2 linked regions of the Xenopus tropicalis genome follow. The protein of the gene in region 2 interacts with the protein of the main gene of each other region in a biochemical or structural test. Links are inferred from orthologs where the notes say so. Each region holds a gene or a part of one and is shown on either strand. Other genes may lie near its edges.

What was found.
Region 1: the proteins of rps6ka1 (region 2) and erbin interact in a test that uses a peptide from one of them, tested with the Homo sapiens proteins (2 studies listed by BioGRID and IntAct). The link is inferred for Xenopus tropicalis from reciprocal best matches to the Homo sapiens genes RPS6KA1 and ERBIN.

The regions. Positions count from the first base shown.
Region 1 is NC_030677.2:187,603,134-187,608,666, forward strand, and holds the start of erbin (erbin), read right to left. Parts: upstream 3,406-5,533; 5' UTR 2,756-3,405; intron 1-2,755. UniProt on the Homo sapiens protein: Acts as an adapter for the receptor ERBB2, in epithelia. By binding the unphosphorylated 'Tyr-1248' of receptor ERBB2, it may contribute to stabilize this unphosphorylated state.
Region 2 is NC_030678.2:77,655,731-77,660,509, forward strand, and holds part of rps6ka1 (ribosomal protein S6 kinase alpha-1), read left to right. Parts: coding exon 1-76; intron 77-1,061; coding exon 1,062-1,223; intron 1,224-1,354; coding exon 1,355-1,431; intron 1,432-2,692; coding exon 2,693-2,810; intron 2,811-4,779. UniProt on the Homo sapiens protein: Serine/threonine-protein kinase that acts downstream of ERK (MAPK1/ERK2 and MAPK3/ERK1) signaling and mediates mitogenic and stress-induced activation of the transcription factors CREB1, ETV1/ER81 and NR4A1/NUR77, regulates translation through RPS6 and EIF4B phosphorylation, and mediates cellular proliferation, survival, and differentiation by modulating mTOR signaling and repressing pro-apoptotic function of BAD and DAPK1.

The sequences.
Region 1 (5,533 bases), on a different chromosome or scaffold from region 2:
AGCCTTGTAGCTGAATGCAGCTATTGCCCAGGCAGTTGCTGTTGATCAGGGGTCCACCAACCTCTTTTTCCTGTGAGCCACACTGAAATGTAAAGAGAGATGGGGAGCAAAACAAGCATGAAAAAGCCTTATGGGGATGCCAAATAAGGGCTCTAATTGGCTATTTAGTAGACCCTATTTGGGAAGTCAGTCTACAGGAGGCTCTGTTTGGCAGTAAGCCTGATTTTTATGCAACCACAATGTGCGTCCAAGCCAGAAATTCAAAATAAGCACCTACTTTGTGGCCACTGTGAGCAACAGCCAAGGGTTAGGGAGAAACATGTTGCTCCAGAACCACTGGTTGGGGATCACTGCTGTAGATTATTACTACTGTAGACAATCATAACCATGGGGGTCACATTTGAACTAGTAACTTCACAACCCTTCAGTATTGACAATGAAGCCCAGGTATGCAAAAAAAAAAAAAAAGAAAGCACAACTCTAGGATTCAGTAGATCTGACCTAGAAAAATAAAATAAATAAATTATAAAAGTATTGGCATATTTTTCCCTTGCAGTCAAATTGAAAAAGTTGTATTGTGCTGCTGTCAGTGGAGCACTCGGCTGGCCGATTAGGAGAGCCAGTTTAGATCTGCATGCCTTCCAATGAACAAAGAGCTCCACTGTGTGTAAGAACAAGGCAGAAAAAAAATGAAATCCCATAGCAATCTGCCCTGCCCCCCACCTCATACACCCACACACACCCCTTCTGAAGATAAAGTTAATGGAAACTTTTTCAAACACGCAAGAAATATGTAAAGTTTAAAACTATTTAAAATGTTTGTCAAGGCCCTGATCTGGGCAGTGGGGTTAATGTAACGAAGGCCATTGAAGTAACACAGGAAAGAAAAGAGCAGGCCTCCAACTAACACTCAATTTTTATAGCTGTAAAACCACACCAAACGTTGCCTTGTATTCTCGCAAAGCTTCGCTTTACGTAACTGTGTCATTTAATATTTCCTACAAATAGAACGGTAAGGAAAACAGAGCATGACATGGACACTCTGCATTATTTATTTAAAATATGTATTCTTTTTAGTGTAATCATTTTAAAGAAGCAGCTGCAGGTCATTTCAACTACAGGTATGGGACCGGTTATCCAGAATGCTCGGGACCTTGGACTTTTCAGATAAGGGGTCTTTCTGTAATTTGGATTGCCATATGTTAATTTTGCTAAAAAAATCATTTAAACATTAAACTGAATAGGGTACTGGTTTATTATTGCAGAGAAAAAGGAAATCATTTTCAAAAACTAGAATTATTTGATTAAAATGGAGTCTATGGGAGATGGCCTTCCCGTAATTTAAAGCTTTTGGGTAACAGGTTTCCAGGATCCCATACCTGGATCAAATCCCATGTGCCAGGTCAGTCACAGACAGGTAGATGGCACAAATATTAATACATTAATAAAGCTGTAAAGTTAATAATAAAATATCTGTTATTTGATTTACCATCAGGCTCAAACATTGTATTCTACTTCTCTTAGTCTTGTCATTTTCTGCATTGGTAGAAAGTCAACTTAAGCAAAAGAGCTTGAGCTCCATTAGAAATTCTTGTAAAGATGCAAAGCAAGTTCTGGTCATTGTTGCATTTACAGAACTGCTAGGCAACGACTCCAATCAGTGTGGACCCCCCCCCCACACTACATGCAGACAGGGCCTGCTGAGCAGAACCACCAGAGTAAAACTGAGTTTATAGCAGACATGTGTGTAACCTGGGAACTCACTGTTGAAGACAGAAGCTGCAATTTTATAACAGCTGAATGGGAAACATATCATTTACATGCATGTCCAACCTGGGGCCCTCCAACTATTATGCATACCATGACAGTCAAACACTACTGTAGTACGAGGATGGAGGGGCTCAAACATTATATCCCTGATCTAAAATAGCCAAGACTTCGAAACTGTGGGCCTGAACAAGGCAGTAACTGGGGGGGGGTGATTTAGCAGGTAGACTACAGAGGGGAAATATGCTTTTTTATATACTCCTAGAATTCCCGGAATGACGGTTAACAGGGTAAGATTTTTGTGGCAAACACTCAAGGAGCTATGCCATCTGTAACAGAGTTACAAGCGGAGGAGGGCCCCAACCAAATGTTCAACATGAATGGGGGTTCTGAAGTCTGAAAACCGTAAGGCCTAAGGGATTTCTACCTTGCCAATCAGCTGACAACATATTCTTCAACCGTCTTGACCTGGCAAGGAATACTGTAAGTTCAAATAACAGCTGGAAGGCCAGACATCAGACATTTGCATTCTAGATTGTAAGCTCTCGGATTTCAGTTTCTCTTTGTATGCTTCATGTCCGTGTAGAACTTGAATAGCATCTGTAATATACTAATAATCACCCTGGAAAACAGCACTTATTTATAAACAGCCCCAACAGCAACAATAGAAGCATCTGGTTGCAGCACAGAGAGGGAGAGCAGTCTGCCCGACAACTCAGACAGCTGCAACATGCTGCTGGACCATTTTGTGCAGCAGAGAACTTCTTATATCAACTGTGGTGATGTTTAGAGATCAGACAACATCTCGGTCCATTTAAAACCAGCAGCATCCTTCTGCCCCAGACTAAAGCATGTTTCTGCCCAGAACCAACCACCTGCTAACTTGCCCTGAGTTTTACTGCTGAAGCCCCCCAGTCCTTGGCCAAAACACAAAGCAGCCTCATCCAACTCTCCCCCCCTGTCTCCCCTGTAAAAGCCATAGCATTACCTTATTAGAGTTTGCTAGATATTTCAGTGTAATGTTCCACTTCCTCCTGCATTGAGTTTATTGTAAATCCAACAAGCTTTTCTCTTCTCAGAATCCAGAAAGGTGTAATAATCCCACAAACGTATAGAATTTTCCGCAGAGAGAGAGAGAGATGGCCAGAGAACAACAAACCCGAAGGCCGGGAGAGAGGATCACAAAGGGGCTGTAGAAGTTCCAAACCGAATGAGCTCAAGTTCGTTTCCCTCCAATGCTTTCACCGTTCCTTAATCCTGGGAGGGGGCTGGAAACATCCCAATTAGAGAGAAGCAAAGGACAATTCTTTACCAGGGACGGGATTCCAGGTCCACGTTTCGGGGAGTAGAGAGAGAGTGGGGGTCAGGGGAATAAACAGGCAAGGGGAGGGGGGTGTAGGAAGAGAGAGAGCCGTGTAGGGACAGGGGTCCCGCTGCATTCACTGCTCCTCCTAGTGACACCCGTACGAGTCATGAAGGGTGAGCCGGAGTGTAGGGTATATTGTGCCACTATGGGAGCCGCACCCTCAGCGCACTCACACACACAGCCCGGCCAAGCAGCACTCTCTCCTCCCCAGTACTGCTCGCAGCCGCACACACTCTCCCCTCCCCCTCTGTCTCCAGTCTCTCCTCCCCCCTCTCATAAGGGCAGTCTCTTTGCTACTCTCACTTCCTGAGGCGTCTCGTTTCTCCTCTATGTGGCCCCTGCTTAGGCTCTCTCTTCATTTTACCCCCATCATGTAACATATTTCTAATGAAAAGGTGCAGTAAAGCTGCTGCCCCCCCAGATGTGTTTCAATCACAACCCCTTAACCCGCACTAGGAACCTTTGTGGGTATTTTAGTTCTGCAACAGTTGAAGGGGGGAAACGAAATCCTATTTTTAAAATGCTTATTCCATCTTTTATTTGATTGTCAGCTTGTAGGACAAGATGTAATGAGACTCAGGGACAAGTGTTACTGTACAGGACCCTAGGTGTATGTAGATTGGATCCATTACTTAGTGTTTAATCCTTAGGGTTAATTTGTGATGCTATTAGCCCATTCAAATAGGGTGCTGACCCAGTGCCCCAAGCTATCAGTGACTGGTCCACAGAGGCATTTACATGAGTGTGTGTGCCAGTCACTGTTATCCTAAGTAACAGATTTGTTAGGGGCTCATCACCTTGAAAGTGTCATGGAGTATCCAAGGCTATTGGCTACAGGTGCCCAGATTTAAGTGACCACCACAATTTGTTTAACCTTTTTACTTGTGTTCTGTACCCAAGGGTCATGGCAATATAAGTATTATACAGTCAGTGCCTCTACATACATAGCCTTTAGGCAGTCATATACAACCGGACCTTGTACAGTATGTGACCAATCAGCTTGCAGGTGCAATACAAGGTTATTATTATTACTATTATTAATATTAACACATATTTATACATCACCAACATATTTTGCAGGACTGTACAATAAATGGGTGTATGCACTGAACATACAGATTACATACAAATAATTAACTGGTAACCGATACAAGAGGTAAAAAGGGTCTGCCCAAAAGAGCTTACAGTCAGTTTCATACATTGTCGAGGCTGAACAACGGGAACAGCAGAAAGTGAAGACACTTCCATACAATGGAAAACGTGGTGCATCAGCAGATTAGGTTTTTAAAGGAGAATGAAAGTTACAATAACTGGGGGATGCCAAATGTTAGCTTCCATACATGTACCAAAAATCAAAGATTTTATTGTCATTTGTCAGGCCACCCTAAGCCTTAGCCACTAGGAAGGAATGCACTAAATCAGGAGAGCTACTCAAGTAGTGGTAAACTGATCAGTGTCCATACACTTACTATGGCATGTCAGAGTCGACATAAGAACCAAACGTGTCCAAATACAGTGGATAAGAAATACTGTAGAATAAAAGGGGTAAATAACCCCTTAATTTGTTTTATTGTGTCCATTATGGACAATATTTATATTTTATTAACTTCAGTTGTACTTTAGGTCAGAATATATGGTTCGTTAAATAAATAGAAACTCCACAGATATTACAAAACAGTTTAAGTGTGAGCATTAGATAAAAGATTAATATGTGTCTTGAGTAGAGTTGCCACCTGCCTTGTAAAGTGATGCTTGATGCTAATGTAAGCTATAAAGCTAAACATATAGGACAGAAACTAAAGCTATACATACATGTATAAAGATTATAAATTAAATAATAATCTCATTTGGATATAATCAGTTCCATCGGAATCATCTGACAAAATGTAGTGCATCAGTCTGTAAAGCATTTGACATACTGACCGCTTGCCATAGTTGAAGTAACGCCCAGAGGTAAAAAAAAACACTACAGGGATCAAAAGGGGTCAAATTGCTGGCTGTGACCTCATGAAGTTTCCTTAACCCTAAAGGTATAACACATAATCTAAATAAACTGACATCAAATGTACAATCTATGATATAGTTGAGTCCAGGACTGGGTTGTGTACATACACTGGAAGTAGCATAAAAACTAATGTCAATCACATCATTATTATGTAGTTCAGTATGTTATGTAATTCTACTTAAAGGGACTCTGGCCAGAAAATATACAAAATCAAACTTGAACCCTTAAGGTGTGGTCCAGGTATGGGATCTGTTAACCGTAAACCCTAAAGCATTGAATTACAGAAAGGCCATCTTCCATAGACTCCATTTAGATGAATCATTTTAATTTTTAAAAACAACTTTCTTTTGTTCTGTAAGTATTAAAACAGTACCGTCTACTTGATGGTAACTAAC
Region 2 (4,779 bases):
ATTCTTCTCTGAGAGAGAAGCCAATCTTGTCCTTTTAACCGTTTGCAAGACAGTGGAGTATTTACACTCTCAAGGGGTGAGACTAATTTATGTTTACATCATATATAGGTAATAAGTCAACAACAACATCCAAGTGGTCAGCATTGTGTGGAACTCAGTGAACTCAAAACTTAGACACAAACAATTTAAGGTAGTGACCAGGTTTGCTCGAGTGTTATAACCTACATTATATTTACTGATCTATTAGAGTTTGAATGCAGAATTCTCATTTGTTACTTTAGGTATAATTAGGTGTAATGAAATGCAAATAAGTAAGAATGCTGCAAACCCAGACACTTTGCAGAATGGTATAGTCAGGCCCAGTTATAGGAAGTATGGCCCTTGGCAATGCAGGAAAGCTGGGGAAACCATCCAAGGGGGATGGGAATTAAATGGCAGAAAAGCATAACATCTCATATAATCTTTGTTACAGATGTACTTTATCAAGTTTAGATTGTATACATTGTAACAGTTCTTTTTTTTTTTTTTTTTTTTTTTTCTTTTACAGAATAGGTGGGTTACATAATGCAAATAAAATATTGTAATAATTGTATTTGAAAGACAGCTGTTTGCTTCATTATTTGAAACCCTATTATGGGCTGAAGTTTGGATGACATAGAAAAATCCTCAGCCTTCTGGTTTCCTAATCATCTTTTTAGAAAATAAAAACTATAAATATACGGTTGCTTGCCTAGGACTTTATGATAAGAAGGATGGACTTCATTCATGTTATTTATGGATGAATTAAATCTGTACATTAAGTATACCACACTCAGATTATGATCAGCATATTATTTATCAACTAGAAATACAGATTGTATGCATTCAGTTGTCCTTTATCACATGACAGAAGGGTTCAGAATTGGTTTGGATGAGCAAGAAGGTTTCTTTCTAATAAGGATCTTGTAAAAAGTGTTGAAACTCAACTAAATCTTGAACTGAATCCTGGATTTGGTGCATCCCAGATATTTGGGTAAAATAAAATCTTTCTTAACCACACTTTTTTATTATTTGTTTTGCAGGTAGTTCATAGAGACCTGAAGCCTAGCAATATTCTGTATGTTGATGAATCAGGTAATCCAGAGTCAATCAGGATATGTGACTTTGGATTTGCTAAACAGCTACGAGCAGAGAATGGCTTGCTTATGACTCCATGCTACACAGCCAACTTTGTTGCGCCAGAGGTAATGTTTTATTAGGAAGAAGGTGGTTCTGTGGATTGGTGACTATTTCAAGGGGATATATATCAAACCTATAGCAGGGAAAATTGGTATTGTTGATGGACGAAGACTGAAATCTGCATTTCTTTCTACAGGTATTAAAGCGACAGGGCTATGATGAGGGCTGTGACATCTGGAGCTTAGGCATCCTCGTTTATACTATGCTTGCAGGGTAAGCAATTAGAAATTGTAAAAGTTGATTAATTGTATATTCATTCTCCATTTTGGGCCTTTTTTATGCACAATATGTAATAGTAAGTATATCTTTATTTTATATGTGAAGATGAATGTTTATACATTTGTATTTGTAAAAAATGTGTTATGACTAAATGTAACAAAACTTCTCAGGGTTCATCCTCTCATCCAGGAGGTACTCTATGGCTACTTTCTGTGCAAAGACTATCTGAACCCCAAAATTCAGTGGCCCTAATTTTCTCTAGCCCCTCCTGCAGAACTAGAGAGTGGTCCCATTGCTTCAGGTTGGGTTTTTTTCACCTTTGTGCAGAACTAGGATTTGTATTGGCAAAATTTTAAGTTGTTAGAGGTCTCTTTAATCCAAGCTCATCTGTTATGCAATTGTTTATACATAATATATACGTACAAAAGAACACTAATTTTATGTTTATCATACCATAACAGGAGGTGGTATATAACTATATATTAGATGGCACTTATATTGCAGTGTCACCCACTGTATGTGCAGCACCAAATACCATCCTTCTTGTGTCTCTACATTACCCACCCAGGGACCTCCATCCTCTTGTCTTTTGTCATTTAGCTTTGTGGAATCTTTAATGCAACTGTACTTTTTGTTTATTTGTACTCATTATTGTACACTGTATTTATTTATATCTTATTGTAATGGTCCCTACATGTAAATTATTGTCCTGCTGTAGAGCTTTTTGTACATTTGTAGCGCTATTTAAATAAAATATACATACATACAAACAAGGGAAAACATAAAATAAGGGAAATGCATTATAAGTTTGTGGGATCACAAAAAAAGTAGTATAATGCAGAAAATTTTAAAACTGGAGATGTAAAATTGAGGTATCACTGTAATACAGGTATGGGGGCCTGTTATCCACAATTAACAGGACCTGGGGTTTTCCAGATAAGGAAGCCATTGCTTCATTTGGATCTCCATGCCTTATGTCTGCTAAAAAATAACTTAAACATTAATTTAGCCCAATACAATTGTTTTGCCTCCAATAAGAATTAATTATATCTTAGTTGAATCAACTACAAGGTGTACTTTTCTATTATTACAGAGAAAAAGGAAATCATTTTTAAAAATGCAAATTATTTTATGAAAGTGTAGTCTATGAAAGATGGCCTTTCCATAATTCAGAGTTTTCTAAATAAAGGAATCCGTACCCATATACACATAAGATGTGTATTAAAACTAATCTTGTTAATTTGTGTTTACATAGATACACACCGTTTGCAAATGGACCAGGAGACACCCCTGAAGAGATACTAGCTCGTATTGGTAGTGGGAAGTTTACACTGAGGGGTGGAAACTGGAATACTGTGTCTGACTCAGCAAAGGTAAAAGATGGTAGAGGTGTAGGATAAGTGGTATAATCTTTCATTGTTCCTTGATTCACTTTATTTGAAATGTTCATGCTGGTATGTCATTAAACATACTAATAACCTTATATGCCATATAAGCAAAAAATAAAAAATATTGGCCCCTTTGAAATTGTTAACTTTAATTTCACAAAGAAACTAATAAAATATTAATGGTGGCATGTAAAAAAGTTAGTTTGGACACCCTTTCACTTTTCCAGTGATACAAACAGTTTTTGCATGGACTTATTTCATTAGGCCTTAACAGCCCATAGATATTGTCACCTGGTGAAAATTGCAAAGCTTAATAAAATCTTGAAACCCCAAGTTTGGTGCTGCGACTCAACAACCATGGGCACTTCTAACCAACTGATTGAGGATCTGAAATGTAGAGAATTGATGCCTACAAAGCAGAGGAAGGCTATACAGAGATTGCAAAATGCTTTCATTTCACAATTTGACCTGTCTGTAATGTCACTGAGAAATGTCCATTAAAGGAGAAGGAAAGTCTAAGTCACTTGGGGGTGCCAAAATGTTAGGCACCCCCAAGTGACTTAAATCGCTTACCTTTTACCAGGGCTGTGGAGTCGGTAGATAAATTCTCAGACTCCTATGTTTTTAATATGCTAATGTATTTTAGACATTCATTGAAGGAAAGGAAAGAGATATACATATCATTTAAAGGAACAGTAACACCAAAAAATTCAAGTGTATAAAAGAAATTCCAATATAATGTACTGCTGCCCTGCACTGGTACAACTGGTGTGTTTGCCGCAGAAACACTACTATGGTTTATATAAAGAATGCAGCTATGTAGCCATGGGGGCAGCCATTCAAAGGAGAAAAGGCACAGGCACATAGCAGATAACAGATAAAACACTATTGTATTCTACAGAGCTTATCAGTTATCTGCTATATAACCTGTGCCTTTTTTCCAGCTTGAATGGCTGCCCCCATGGCTACACAGCAGCTTATTATATATAAACTATAGTAGAGTTACTGTAGCAAACACACAACTTTTACCAGTGCAGGGCAACAGTACATTATATTTCATTTATTTTAAAACTCTTTAATTTTTTGGTGTTACTGTTCCTTTAACCACAGAACTACTGGCTAGGAAGCCAACACTCTACTGTATTGCCCAATTAAAGCAAAAAACAAACACAATGAAAACAATAAGGTTTTGTTTATTTTTTTTTTTTTTAAACAAGTGGCTGGATAGTAATAGCTGGCATACTTAATTAGTTATCAGTGAGAGTTAGGCTAGGTTCACAGTGGGCATTGTGTTCCCTGTAACAGAGGAACACGACGCAATGGAGCTGCCGCAACTGTGCGTTACGTCCCATTTAGTGAAGCATACAGTCAATGAAAAGCATGCTTCATGGTCACTCAACGTGTACGATTATGCACTGCGTGCATTGGGCTATATTCTTATAGCAGAGAAGTAATTAATTATGACTGTTTGTTTGTGAATTGGGACATTTAAACTTGCTTTATTTTATTTTTTTTATTCCCATTTAAATTTAGTAGGAGTCTGAGTCGGTTAATTTTTTGCCGACTCCGACTCCAGGTACCCAAAATTGCCTCCGACTCCACAGCCCTGCCTTTTACCCCGGGCTGTTGCCCCTGTTAGGAGAAAACAGCACCTGGGGTAGCAGCGATCGCTTCCTGATTGCGTGCGCGCGCAATAGAGTGAAAAGCCAAATTTTGAACAGAGAAGTCGGCTTTTCACTCTACTGCGCATGCGCCTGTCCCGGACATTTGCCAGCAGCGCGAATAGGGAAGAAGGAAGCACTCGCTACAGGTACCCCGGGCTGGTGCTGTTTGGCCCTTGAACACAAGCACTTAGTACCGTAGGTTTTGCTACAACAAAAGATTGCGCTTAATTGATCTGTTTTATTTAACCACAGCTACTTTCCTATAGAGGAAACAGACCCTGCAACTGCTG